3 linked regions of the Danio rerio genome follow. The protein of the gene in region 2 binds, or shares a complex with, the protein of the main gene of each other region. Links are inferred from orthologs where the notes say so. Each region holds a gene or a part of one and is shown on either strand. Other genes may lie near its edges.

What was found.
Region 1: smarcc1a (region 2) and actl6b share a complex: the UniProt entries of both Homo sapiens proteins name them as parts of the BAF complex. The link is inferred for Danio rerio from reciprocal best matches to the Homo sapiens genes SMARCC1 and ACTL6B.
Region 3: smarcc1a (region 2) and dpf1 share a complex: the UniProt entries of both Homo sapiens proteins name them as parts of the neuron-specific chromatin remodeling complex. The link is inferred for Danio rerio from reciprocal best matches to the Homo sapiens genes SMARCC1 and DPF1.

What each region holds. Positions count from the first base shown.
Region 1 is NC_133198.1:48,242,955-48,245,762, reverse strand, and holds part of actl6b (actin-like protein 6B), read left to right. Parts: intron 1-1,820; coding exon 1,821-1,901; intron 1,902-2,034; coding exon 2,035-2,130; intron 2,131-2,808. UniProt on the Homo sapiens protein: Involved in transcriptional activation and repression of select genes by chromatin remodeling (alteration of DNA-nucleosome topology).
Region 2 is NC_133191.1:46,860,368-46,864,032, forward strand, and holds part of smarcc1a (SWI/SNF complex subunit SMARCC1), read right to left. Parts: intron 426-3,665; coding exon 370-425; intron 150-369; coding exon 8-149; intron 1-7. UniProt on the Homo sapiens protein: Involved in transcriptional activation and repression of select genes by chromatin remodeling (alteration of DNA-nucleosome topology).
Region 3 is NC_133190.1:16,402,958-16,407,100, forward strand, and holds the start of dpf1 (zinc finger protein neuro-d4), read right to left. Parts: upstream 2,935-4,143; 5' UTR 2,857-2,934; coding exon 2,747-2,856; intron 1-2,746. UniProt on the Homo sapiens protein: May have an important role in developing neurons by participating in regulation of cell survival, possibly as a neurospecific transcription factor. Belongs to the neuron-specific chromatin remodeling complex (nBAF complex).

The sequences.
Region 1 (2,808 bases), on a different chromosome or scaffold from region 2:
TTAATACCAATCTCTTCTTTTTTATGCATCCAAGAAAATTCTAAGCCATTAAAAATTGCATACATTGGAAAAAAAAAAAAAAAAAAAAAAAAAAAAAAAACAAATCAACCAACCAAACCAAACTAACCAACCAAACCAAACCAACCAACCAAACCAAACCAACCAACCAACCAAACCAAACCAACCAACCAAACCAAACCAACCAACCAACCAACCAAACCAAACCAACCAAACCAAACCAAACCAACCAACCAACCAACCAAACCAAACCAACCAAACCAAACCAAACCAACCAACCAACCAACCAACCAAACCAAACCAAACCAACCAAACCAAACCAACAACCCAACCAAACCAAAAAAAAAAAAAAAAAAAAAAAAAAAACAAATCAACCAACCAAACCAAACTAACCAACCAAACCAAACCAAACCCACCAAACCAACCAACTACCCAAACCAAACCAAACCAACCAACCAAACCAAACCAAACCAAACCAAACCAAACCAAACCAACCAAACCAACCAAACCAAACCAAACCAACAACCCAACCAAACCAAACCAAACCAACAACCCAACCAAACCAAACCAACCAAACCAAACCAAACCAAACCAAACCAACCAAACCAAACCAAACCAACCAACCAACCAAACCAAACCAACCAAACCAAACCAAACCAACAACCCAACCAAACCAAACCAAACCAACCAAACCAAACCAAACCAAACCAAAGCAAACCAACCAAATCAAACCAACCAAACAAACCAAACCAAACTAAAAACCCAACCAATAAACCAACCAAACCAAACCAACCAACCAAAGCAAACAACCCAACCAAACAGAATCGAACCAAACCAAACCAATCAACCAGCCAACAACCCAAGTCAACCAAACCACCAAACCAACTAAACCAACAACCCAACTCAACTAAACCAACCAACCAACGAAACCAAACCAAACAACTCAACCAAACCCAACCAACCAACCAACTAACCAACCAATCAACAACCCAGCCAAACTAAAACCAAACCAACCCGAACCAAACCAAATAACTAAACCAACTAACCAACCCAACTAAACTGACCAACCAACCAACCAACCAAACAACCAACCAAACAACCAACAAAACCAAACCAAATCAAGCCAAACCAACAACTCAATCCAACCCAACCAACCAATCAACCAAACCAAACCAATCAACCAACCAACCAACCAACCAGTTAACAACCCAGCAAAACCAAACCAACCAACCAACCAAACCAAACCAACAATCCTACCCAGCTAAACAGATCAACCAACCAACCAACGAAACCAAATAAAACCAAGCTAAACCAACAATTAAACCAATCAACCAAACCAATCAATCAACCAACCAAATAATACCAAACTAAACCAATAGTATCTGGATGCAGCCTTTATGATGCAAGCTGAGAGTGCATCACTCAGCGATGCAGTGTCAGACACAATGCACTCAATGGAGTGAGTGACGTCACTGTGACGGGTAGGGTTAGGGGTGGGGCTAGGAGAGCGCATTAAAAAGCATTTGCATCCAGACCCCTCTCAAATAAAGCAAACCAAACCAAGCCATGCCAAATCAACAAACCAAGTTAGTAATTAGTAGTGAGGGTGTTATCCAATCTTTAAAAAAATAAAGAATCTTAAGACACAATGAGATTATATTTCTAAAATTCTGCTGGTAAATTACTTAATATTTACTTTCCATTATAGCAACTGAAATCACATGTTGAGAGTCACAGATGAGGATTAAGAGAGAGAGTGTGTATGTAATGCTGATATGCGTGCTGTCTGTCTGTGTTCTCAGGGATTGTCCGGTAACACCATGCTGGGTGTCGGACACGTGGTCACCACCAGCATCGGCATGTGTGACATCGATATCAGACCGGTAGAACAGAACAAATAATCTCCAGTCATAAATGATGTGAAGTGCATTTTGTTAGTGTTTCATATTGATGTGTGTGTGTGTGTGTGTGTGTGTGTGTGTGTGTGTGTGTGTGTGTGTGTGTGTGTGTGTGTAGGGTCTGTACGGCAGTGTGATCGTGACAGGAGGAAACACACTTCTGCAGGGCTTCACAGAAAGACTCAACAGAGAACTGTCTCAAAAAGCACCACCGGTGAGCTCCTGATCTCTGTCTGATCACTGTCAGATCATAATCTCAGTCTGATCTCAATCTAAACTCAATCTGATCAATCAATCTGATCTCTGTTCAATTTGAATTTTATCTAATCTCTGTTTGACCTCAGTCGAAATTTGTTCTGATCATTGTCTGATCACAATTTGATCTTGATCTAAAGTCAATCTGATCACTGTTTGAACTCAATCTGACCTTCAATTTGAATTGAATATGATCTCTTTCTGATCTCACTATAAATGTATTCTTATCTTTCTGATCTCAATGTAAAGTTAATCTCATCTCTGTCTGATCACAATCTGATCTCAAACTAAACTCAATCCGATTTCTGTCTAAACTCAATCCGATTTCTGTCTAAACTCAATCTGATTTCGTTCTGAACTCAATCTAATCTAAGTTTGAACACATCTCAATCTAAAATCATACTGTCACTTTCTGATCTCAATCTCAAATAATCTGATATCTGTCTGATTACAATCTGAACTCAATCTGAATGCAATCTGGTCTCTGTCTGGTGTCAGAATTAATTCTGATCTCTTTCTGATTAAAATCCAAAATCAATCTGAACTCAGTTTGATCACATGATTTTTGTCTGATCCCTGCCTGATCAACATCTCAGTCCAATCTTAGTTTTGATTTTGAGTCTGATTGCTGCCTATT
Region 2 (3,665 bases):
TCTATACCTGCTGTCTTGGTCTCTCCTGCCTCACTTTCTTCCTCTTCCTGTGGCTCAGATTTCTCTGTAGTCTCAATTTTTTCCTTCTCTGTCTCGGCTGGCTTTTCTGCAGACTCGCTGGGTTTCTCTGCTTCATCCTTTGACTCCGCCTGCAACAGATGAGACAGGGAATGTCGAGAAGACAGTCAGACAGCATGAGACTGGGGAAATGCAAATGAAGCATGGGCACAAGTACAGAAGGTGCATTGCAATAAATCCCAAAAATGATAGTTGGGAAAGGATAAGCACAAATCTGATAGCAATCAACCCGTAAACAGGACAGCGTAACACATGACATATCTGGCTACTGGCAGCAAAGCTGAATCTGACCTTATCAGGCTGCTGGGAGTCGGAGTCTGTGTCCATTTTCTCAGTCTCTGTAGGTTCTGCAAGAAACAAACAATGATTAAAACATCAAATATTAGGCAGAGTGTACTGAAACAAACATGAAACCAGAAATATACCTTAGCACCTCAGTGGCAGTAAAACAACAATTTTTTCTTAAATTTACTTTTTTATATTTACATAAAATTAGCTATTAAAGCATTTAATGTTTTTTTAAAGGTAAGTTTCTGTATTATAGTGATAATTTAGTTTTTTTTTTTTTTTTTTCAGTACATTTTTTACTGATTACATGCATGAAAATTAACCAAATGACATTTTCTGAAAAAAAAAATTAATAGAACTACAGATAAACGGATAGAAAAATAAATTGAACGATAGACGGACAGACAGAAGGATAGACAGACAGAAGGATAGACAGACGGACAGATAGACAGACAGACAGAAAGATAGACAGAAGGATAGACGGACGGACAGAAGGATAGACAAACGGACAGAAGGACAGTAAGAACAATAACAGAGAGATCGATAGACAGACAGAAAACAATAGACGGACAGACAAAACGATAGGCGGATGACAAGATAGACAACAACAGGCGGACAGACAGAAGGATAAACGGATGTAAAGAAGGACAGACGAACGACAGACGGATGGCCAGAAGGATAGACGAACGGACAGATGGACAGAAAACAACAGACGAATGGACAAAATGATAGATGGACAGACAAAATGAGTGAAGGACAAACAAAACGATAGACGGACAGACCAAATAATAGACGGACAACCAAAACGATAGACAAAACAATAGAGGAACAGACAAAACGATAGACGGACAGACAGAACAATAGAGGGACTTGCAGAAAGAAGGATGGACAGAGGGACAGACAGACAAAGCGATAGAAAGACAGACGAAACAAAAGACTGACATACAGAACGAAAAACAGAACAATAGACAAACAGACAAAACCATAGACGGACAAACAGAACGATAAACGAACAGACAAAATACAGTATTTCAGCATAAAAGGGGATACATTTTTCACTGCTAATTATTTCACTTTTTTATACAATACAGAAAGTAACAAAACACAATGTAAAAATTTAATAAAGTAAATAACATTAACGCTAAAAATGTAAACAATACTAATTACAAATTTTAAACAATTCAGGGAGGGGCAAATTTACACCTAATCGTTAAACTCTGTATTAAATAATTTTAAATCTTTGTTCTTGGTCTGAAGAGGAGTCTGTGAGAAAGCTTACTGGTTGTAAAATAAAAAAAATTCACACCTTATTTAATTATCAATCTAAAATAAATTGAGAGAAACTGAGATGTTTTTCCATGTATACAAACAAAAATACAGTAAAGCATTAATACTGGCAAATAGTGACATTTTAGCGGCCATTACTACAGCCTTTAATATCATGCAATCCGTATACAAGTATAGATATATAACTATATTACTTCTAATTTTAGTACATGCTATAATAAAAATGTTTATGTTAAGAAAAAGATTATGCGGCTTTAAGGGCTTTACAGATATGTCTATGAATAACACCTCGAACTGTTGAACAAATGAAATGCAGAATCAAAAAAAAAAATAGCCTGACACACCCATAAAGCATGTGCAGAAAACAACCAAGCATAAGGGAAAGCAAGAAAAAATTAAAGCTGCAAGCAGCGATGAAAGGGACCTCGCACCCGGGCTCACCGCCGCCCGGTGACCTTACGATGACAGAGAACAGCGAACAATAATAATTTAAGCCGATATATAAAAAAAAATCTAAGAAAATCACAGATTTATGCCAAACTTCCTCCTGTCAGCAGGTGGCGCTATAACTGTGACTTAAGATTGGCATGTAGATGTCTTCCGGAGAGGAATATTATCAACCATGTGAAGTTTCAGGCACATGGGACATTGTGTGGCTGAGTTATAAGCCAAACTACCTTCTGCCAGCAGGTGGCGTTATGACTGACTCAATATTGTTATGTGGATGTGTTCAGGAGCGGACTTTTATCAACCATGTGAAGTTTCAGGCAGATCTGAGATTGTGTGGAGATTGTGTTTTAAGACAAACTACATTCTGCCAGCAGGTGGCGCTATGACTGACTCAGTATTGTTATGTAGATGTGTTCAGGAGAGGACTTTTATCAATCATGTGAAGTTTCAGGCAGATCAGACATTGTGTGGTTGAGTTATAAGAAATTCCTGTTCCATGGCGAAGCGTTGAGGTTTGTCATGCCACCACAGACACGCCCCTCTGCAAAAACTCTAGATCTTTACAATATATCATCGCTAGAGCTTTCAGATGACACCACTCTATTTTGATGCTGATACGGGAAAGTTTGTGGGAGGAGTTTGTTACAGTGTCAAACATGTTATTTCCTGTGGCCAGCAGGTGGAGCTATAACTATATCTGGATATCGGCACGTAAACCTGATCAGGTCAGGACTGTTATTAAATGTGTGAATTTTGAGGCAGATCGAATATTGCATGCCAGAGTTATAAAGACTTCCTGTTTTGTGGCGAATCATTAAAGTTTGCGAGGCCGCCACGGACACGCCCATCGATGAAAACTCTAAAGCTTCGCAATTTAACATCACCAAGGCTTTAAGATGACAAAACCCAATTTTGGTGTTTATCAGATAAAATCCCTAGGAGGAGTTCGTTAAAATACAACGTCTGAAAATGGCAAAAGCGCCACTTTTTCGCCACAGGAAGTTAAAAATATCCGACTTCCTGTTGGGTTTGAGATATGGCTCCAAGAGACTTTTTCATATTTTTTGCCATGTTTGAGGTGTGTGCCAATTTTTGTGCATGTGCGTGATTCGTAGATCGGGGGCTCGTCCGTTTAATTTTTCTAGGTGGCGCTGTCAAGTCATTTTGCCACGCCCACTTCAATATTGTTATGTGGATGTGTTCAAGAGATGACGTTTATCAACCATGTGAAGTTTCAGGCTGATCGGACATTGTGTGGTTGTGTTATAAGGACTTCCTGTTCCATGGCGAAGCGTTGAGGTTTGTCATACCGCCATGGACACGCCCCTCTGCGAAAACTCTAAATCTTCACAATATATCATCGCTAGAGCTTTCAGATAACACCACTCAATTTTGGTGTTGATACGATAAAATTTGTGGGAGGAGTTTGTAACTCCGTAAATCATGTCATTTCCTGTTGCCAGCAGGTGGCGCTATAACTATATCTGGATATTGGCATGTAAACGTATTCAGGTCAGGACGCTTATCAAGCGTGTGAATTTTGAGGCAGATCGGATAATGCA
Region 3 (4,143 bases), on a different chromosome or scaffold from region 2:
TATTAGAGATGTATTGAATTTTCAGCAATGCTGGGCCAATGAACTATATTCTATCCAATTGCGATAACATTTATGTCAATAACAATGATAAACTCTGAACTTTTTTTACTTTATATTGATCTAAGAGCCAATCACACAGCAGAAATGTGCAACAATGGGAATCTAAAAGTGTTTTGCAAATAGAAATGTACTGAATTGTTGATAGGGCTGGGCAAATAAACAATATTATATTGAATCATGATAACATTTATGTCAATAACCATGATAAACTATGGACTTTTTTACTCTATATTGATCTAGGAGCCAATCACACTGCAAAAATGTGCAACAATGGAAATCTAAAAGTGTGTTGAGATGTACAAGATTTTTGGACACTAAAAATATATCGGCCAAAAATATATTATGCCATTTAATGGACCCTTAAATTTTTGTGGCTTCAGTAATTGTTAGGGGTATTCTTTTAAATCTGGAAGCCTAAACAACTTATATCGTAATATAAGATAAATATAAAATAATTATTGAGATTGCATTTTTGCCATATTGCCCAGCCCTAATAGGATATATATATATATATATATATATATATATATATATATATATATATATATATATATATATATATATATATATATATATATATATATATATATATACACTTCAAAGAATACCATGTTTGTACACAGTGTACATTGGGTACTACAGATGGCAATTTAATGTCATCTAGCACTAACTCTCCCAGGACTGGTTACGCCAATGGCTTCCACCATGCATTCAGAATGTCTGTATTTACGACAGGATAAAGTAAGCATAAAATTCTACACAAAGACACAAGAGCAGTAATGTTATTGTAGGCCTAATATTTTCTGCACTCCTGTCAAGCTCAAGTTGCCAAACATAATTTGAAGCTGTGCAAACCTGAACTAAAGCACTATAATAACACATTAATAACACGTTAGAATAACACTATAGTAACACATTATTCATTTACATTACACTAGTATTCTCAGATTATTATCATTATGTAAAGTCTTATTTACTGTACCTAAAATCTTGAACCCTGTCCTGTGCACTGTTATTAGTTTTCAAAGCATGCACATTTTCTCACACCATCATGCAAAAAAGCTTATGTGATGTGTATACAACAATATTATCAATTTATTTATTGTGTTAATCTAAAACCATAGATAAATACATACATAGATACCATGTGTATATATTATACATATAGTATAGACATACGATTTTAGCTTTGGGTCACATGAATTGTGTAACGTGTAGGTGTACAGGCTCCTCAGCTCTGTAGCGCAAGTCTACTACTAGTTATAGCATTGCTTTCTCTTTATTAGTTACAGCATGCAGGGTTAATCGTCCCATCACTGATTCAAAAAGAAATATATCAATACATCAGCTTATAAACAGGATGTTGTGTAGAATTAAGTTTACTTTAGACATGTATTTGAGTCTTCATATATATAATAGTACAATTTAACTAATTCAACAGTCTTTCTCAAATATGTTCCACTATAGCCAAAATTATTCATATTCCATTTAAGCTGTTAGCGAAATCTTTATTTCAGGTATATATTTTTACAATAAATCCAACAAAAACAAGATGTGCAATCCACAATGTCAATTACATGTGACCATGGATCACCAAATCAGTCTTCAAAAATTTCCAAATATCATAGATAAATTAATACATAGATACCGTATTACTATATTAAACATATTTAGACACACGATTTTACCTTTGGGTAACATTTTAAAGTGTGTTTTGAGCTCAATTGTGACCAAAATACAACGTTGTGGAGACGTGCTGGGTCAAGGTAGGCAGTCGTGGTAGTTACCGGAGGGAGATACAACCTCTCAGGTTAGGAAACCCGGCACAAGTGCTATGCCCCTTTATGAGATATTGAAGCTACAGTCTCATATTCCTGCCAAATACAAACACGTCTCCTCACTCGGAAGGTCCCCGTCTCTAACAGATGAATGTAAAGCAATTTTTGGCACTGAGCCCGTGTGGCGTCTGCGTGCCGCACGCCGAAAAAATGTGTCAGTGTGCACAAAGGAATCTAATGGAAACTTCACGGAATGTGCATTGATGCAACGGCGCACCAGACATAGCAAATGTTACGCGCAACTAAAATGTCACGCTAAAACATGTGTTTGTTTCAGGATTAGCATTGATGTTTCGTATTTACAATGTCATTTCTACAATCTACGTTATCAACGCGTGCGATGTAACCATTAAAACACATTGTGTTAAATTGTAACATTGGCTAGTATGCAGCTAGACAGCCAGTGTTGTCTTCTGCATGCTCATTTCATTTGGCATCGCATACGTGTGCAAAAAAATGTTCGAGCATCATCATCATCATCATCGTTTGTCCAGAGAGTCGGTGACCAGTGAACTCTGCGATTCCATTAGCAACAACTGTAAGTTCCTAGTGATCAATACCGAGCAGGGACGCCGGGTCAACATTCTCAACATTCCTCCATATCACTGTGCATATGCAGAAATGACACCCGAGACTCTGCACTTTACAACGTGCCACATTTGCCCAGATGACAAAATGTCGTCGCATGCATTATGATTTATTGCATTTCAACATGCATTGGTAGTTTGAGCCTCGCCGGCATTTTATACTTTTTAAAGGTGTTTGCATATTTGTGAATAAGAGCGAGCGCTGTTTGTTGCATGGCATGCATTAGTCAAAGCATCAAAATAGAAATATTTTTTACTTACGATTTCAGAGGATTTTGGACCACTGTGGCCATTTTGATATAGAATGATACAATGTAAGACTGCAGATCCCCGGTATTGTACATGTAATATAGCAGCAATTTCAATTTCATTCATTCTCTGGGGCTGCGGCTGGATCGGTCAGCCAATGGGAGCGCGGCTGCCTGATGGTCAGTGCGGGGAAATGTAGTTTTTATTCCCTGAAGCAGTCGGGACTCGTCGGCGCGCGTGCTACAAATACCACAATGCACCGCGGTTAACTGTATTCTAGTCCCGCCTTGATTTTGTGTGGGTAAGCCAAAACATCTACTGTAAATTCAAGGTTGGATTGCTGGACTGTCTGTCAGTATTTTTTGTTGCCTCATGTTGGTAGCTTCTTTGATTCGCAGAGGAATAGTTTCAGAGTGATTGCAGCAAAATCAAGCCGTTCGTTCTTGTGTTGTATATTTCATCTTTGAGATTAGCAGATTTGGGTAGTCATTGGTCATTATTATTTTATTACACAGCATTTTTCTGCATGTGTGCTATGTTTAGTCAGATGCATGTATATTTGAATACACATTTTTTTCCATTGACTTCTGATGGGTTTTGTGCCTGGGCTAAATAGTATAGTATATTATAAATATACTATAAACAGTATATTTATATCTGAACCCTGATCAATCTTTTCTGCATCATTTATAACAATTATTTCACCAATTTATGTATTGATTTTATGGTAAAGCAGTTTTTCTCATATATACATATGGTTGTTACCAAATGAATAATTAATCCTACAATACTATACCAGCTGAAGAATCACGATACCAAGTAGTATTGTGATACTGTAATTTATATGTCAAATTGTCAAAAATAAAAGAAAATTGTCAAAAATACTATATTTTATGTTATAATAGGCCTACTTGAATTAAATTCATAATTACTTTAAAGCCAAAAAGTATTATTTGCACCTCACTAAGATATATTCATTCTTTTGGTTTATTTTGTAGATAAACTGACCAACAAGAATACATTAATATAAAGATACAAATGATACCAAATGAAATTTGTTACAAAAGTGCATTTTTTCCAACTAAATTAGGCTATATGAAGTGGTCCAAAATTCTTTACTATTTGCTATTTTGGGTTTCAGGTAACAATCCAAAGTAATTCAAAACGTCACTTTGTGAGATGTGTTTTTAAAGAGATTGTTGCAGTTGTTGTAGCTACTAAATTATATTAACAGGAACAGAAATGACTCGATGTGCGTTTGAGCTGAAGCGTGAGAAAACGTGCAATAGGCTACCATATAAGGCGCAAATTCTACTGTTTTGCAACCTTAAAGGGCTCCACAGACTATTAAAATAAAATGGTCTATTGTTCCACAAGCGTGTGAGCATTTTAGTGTCTCTACGACATGC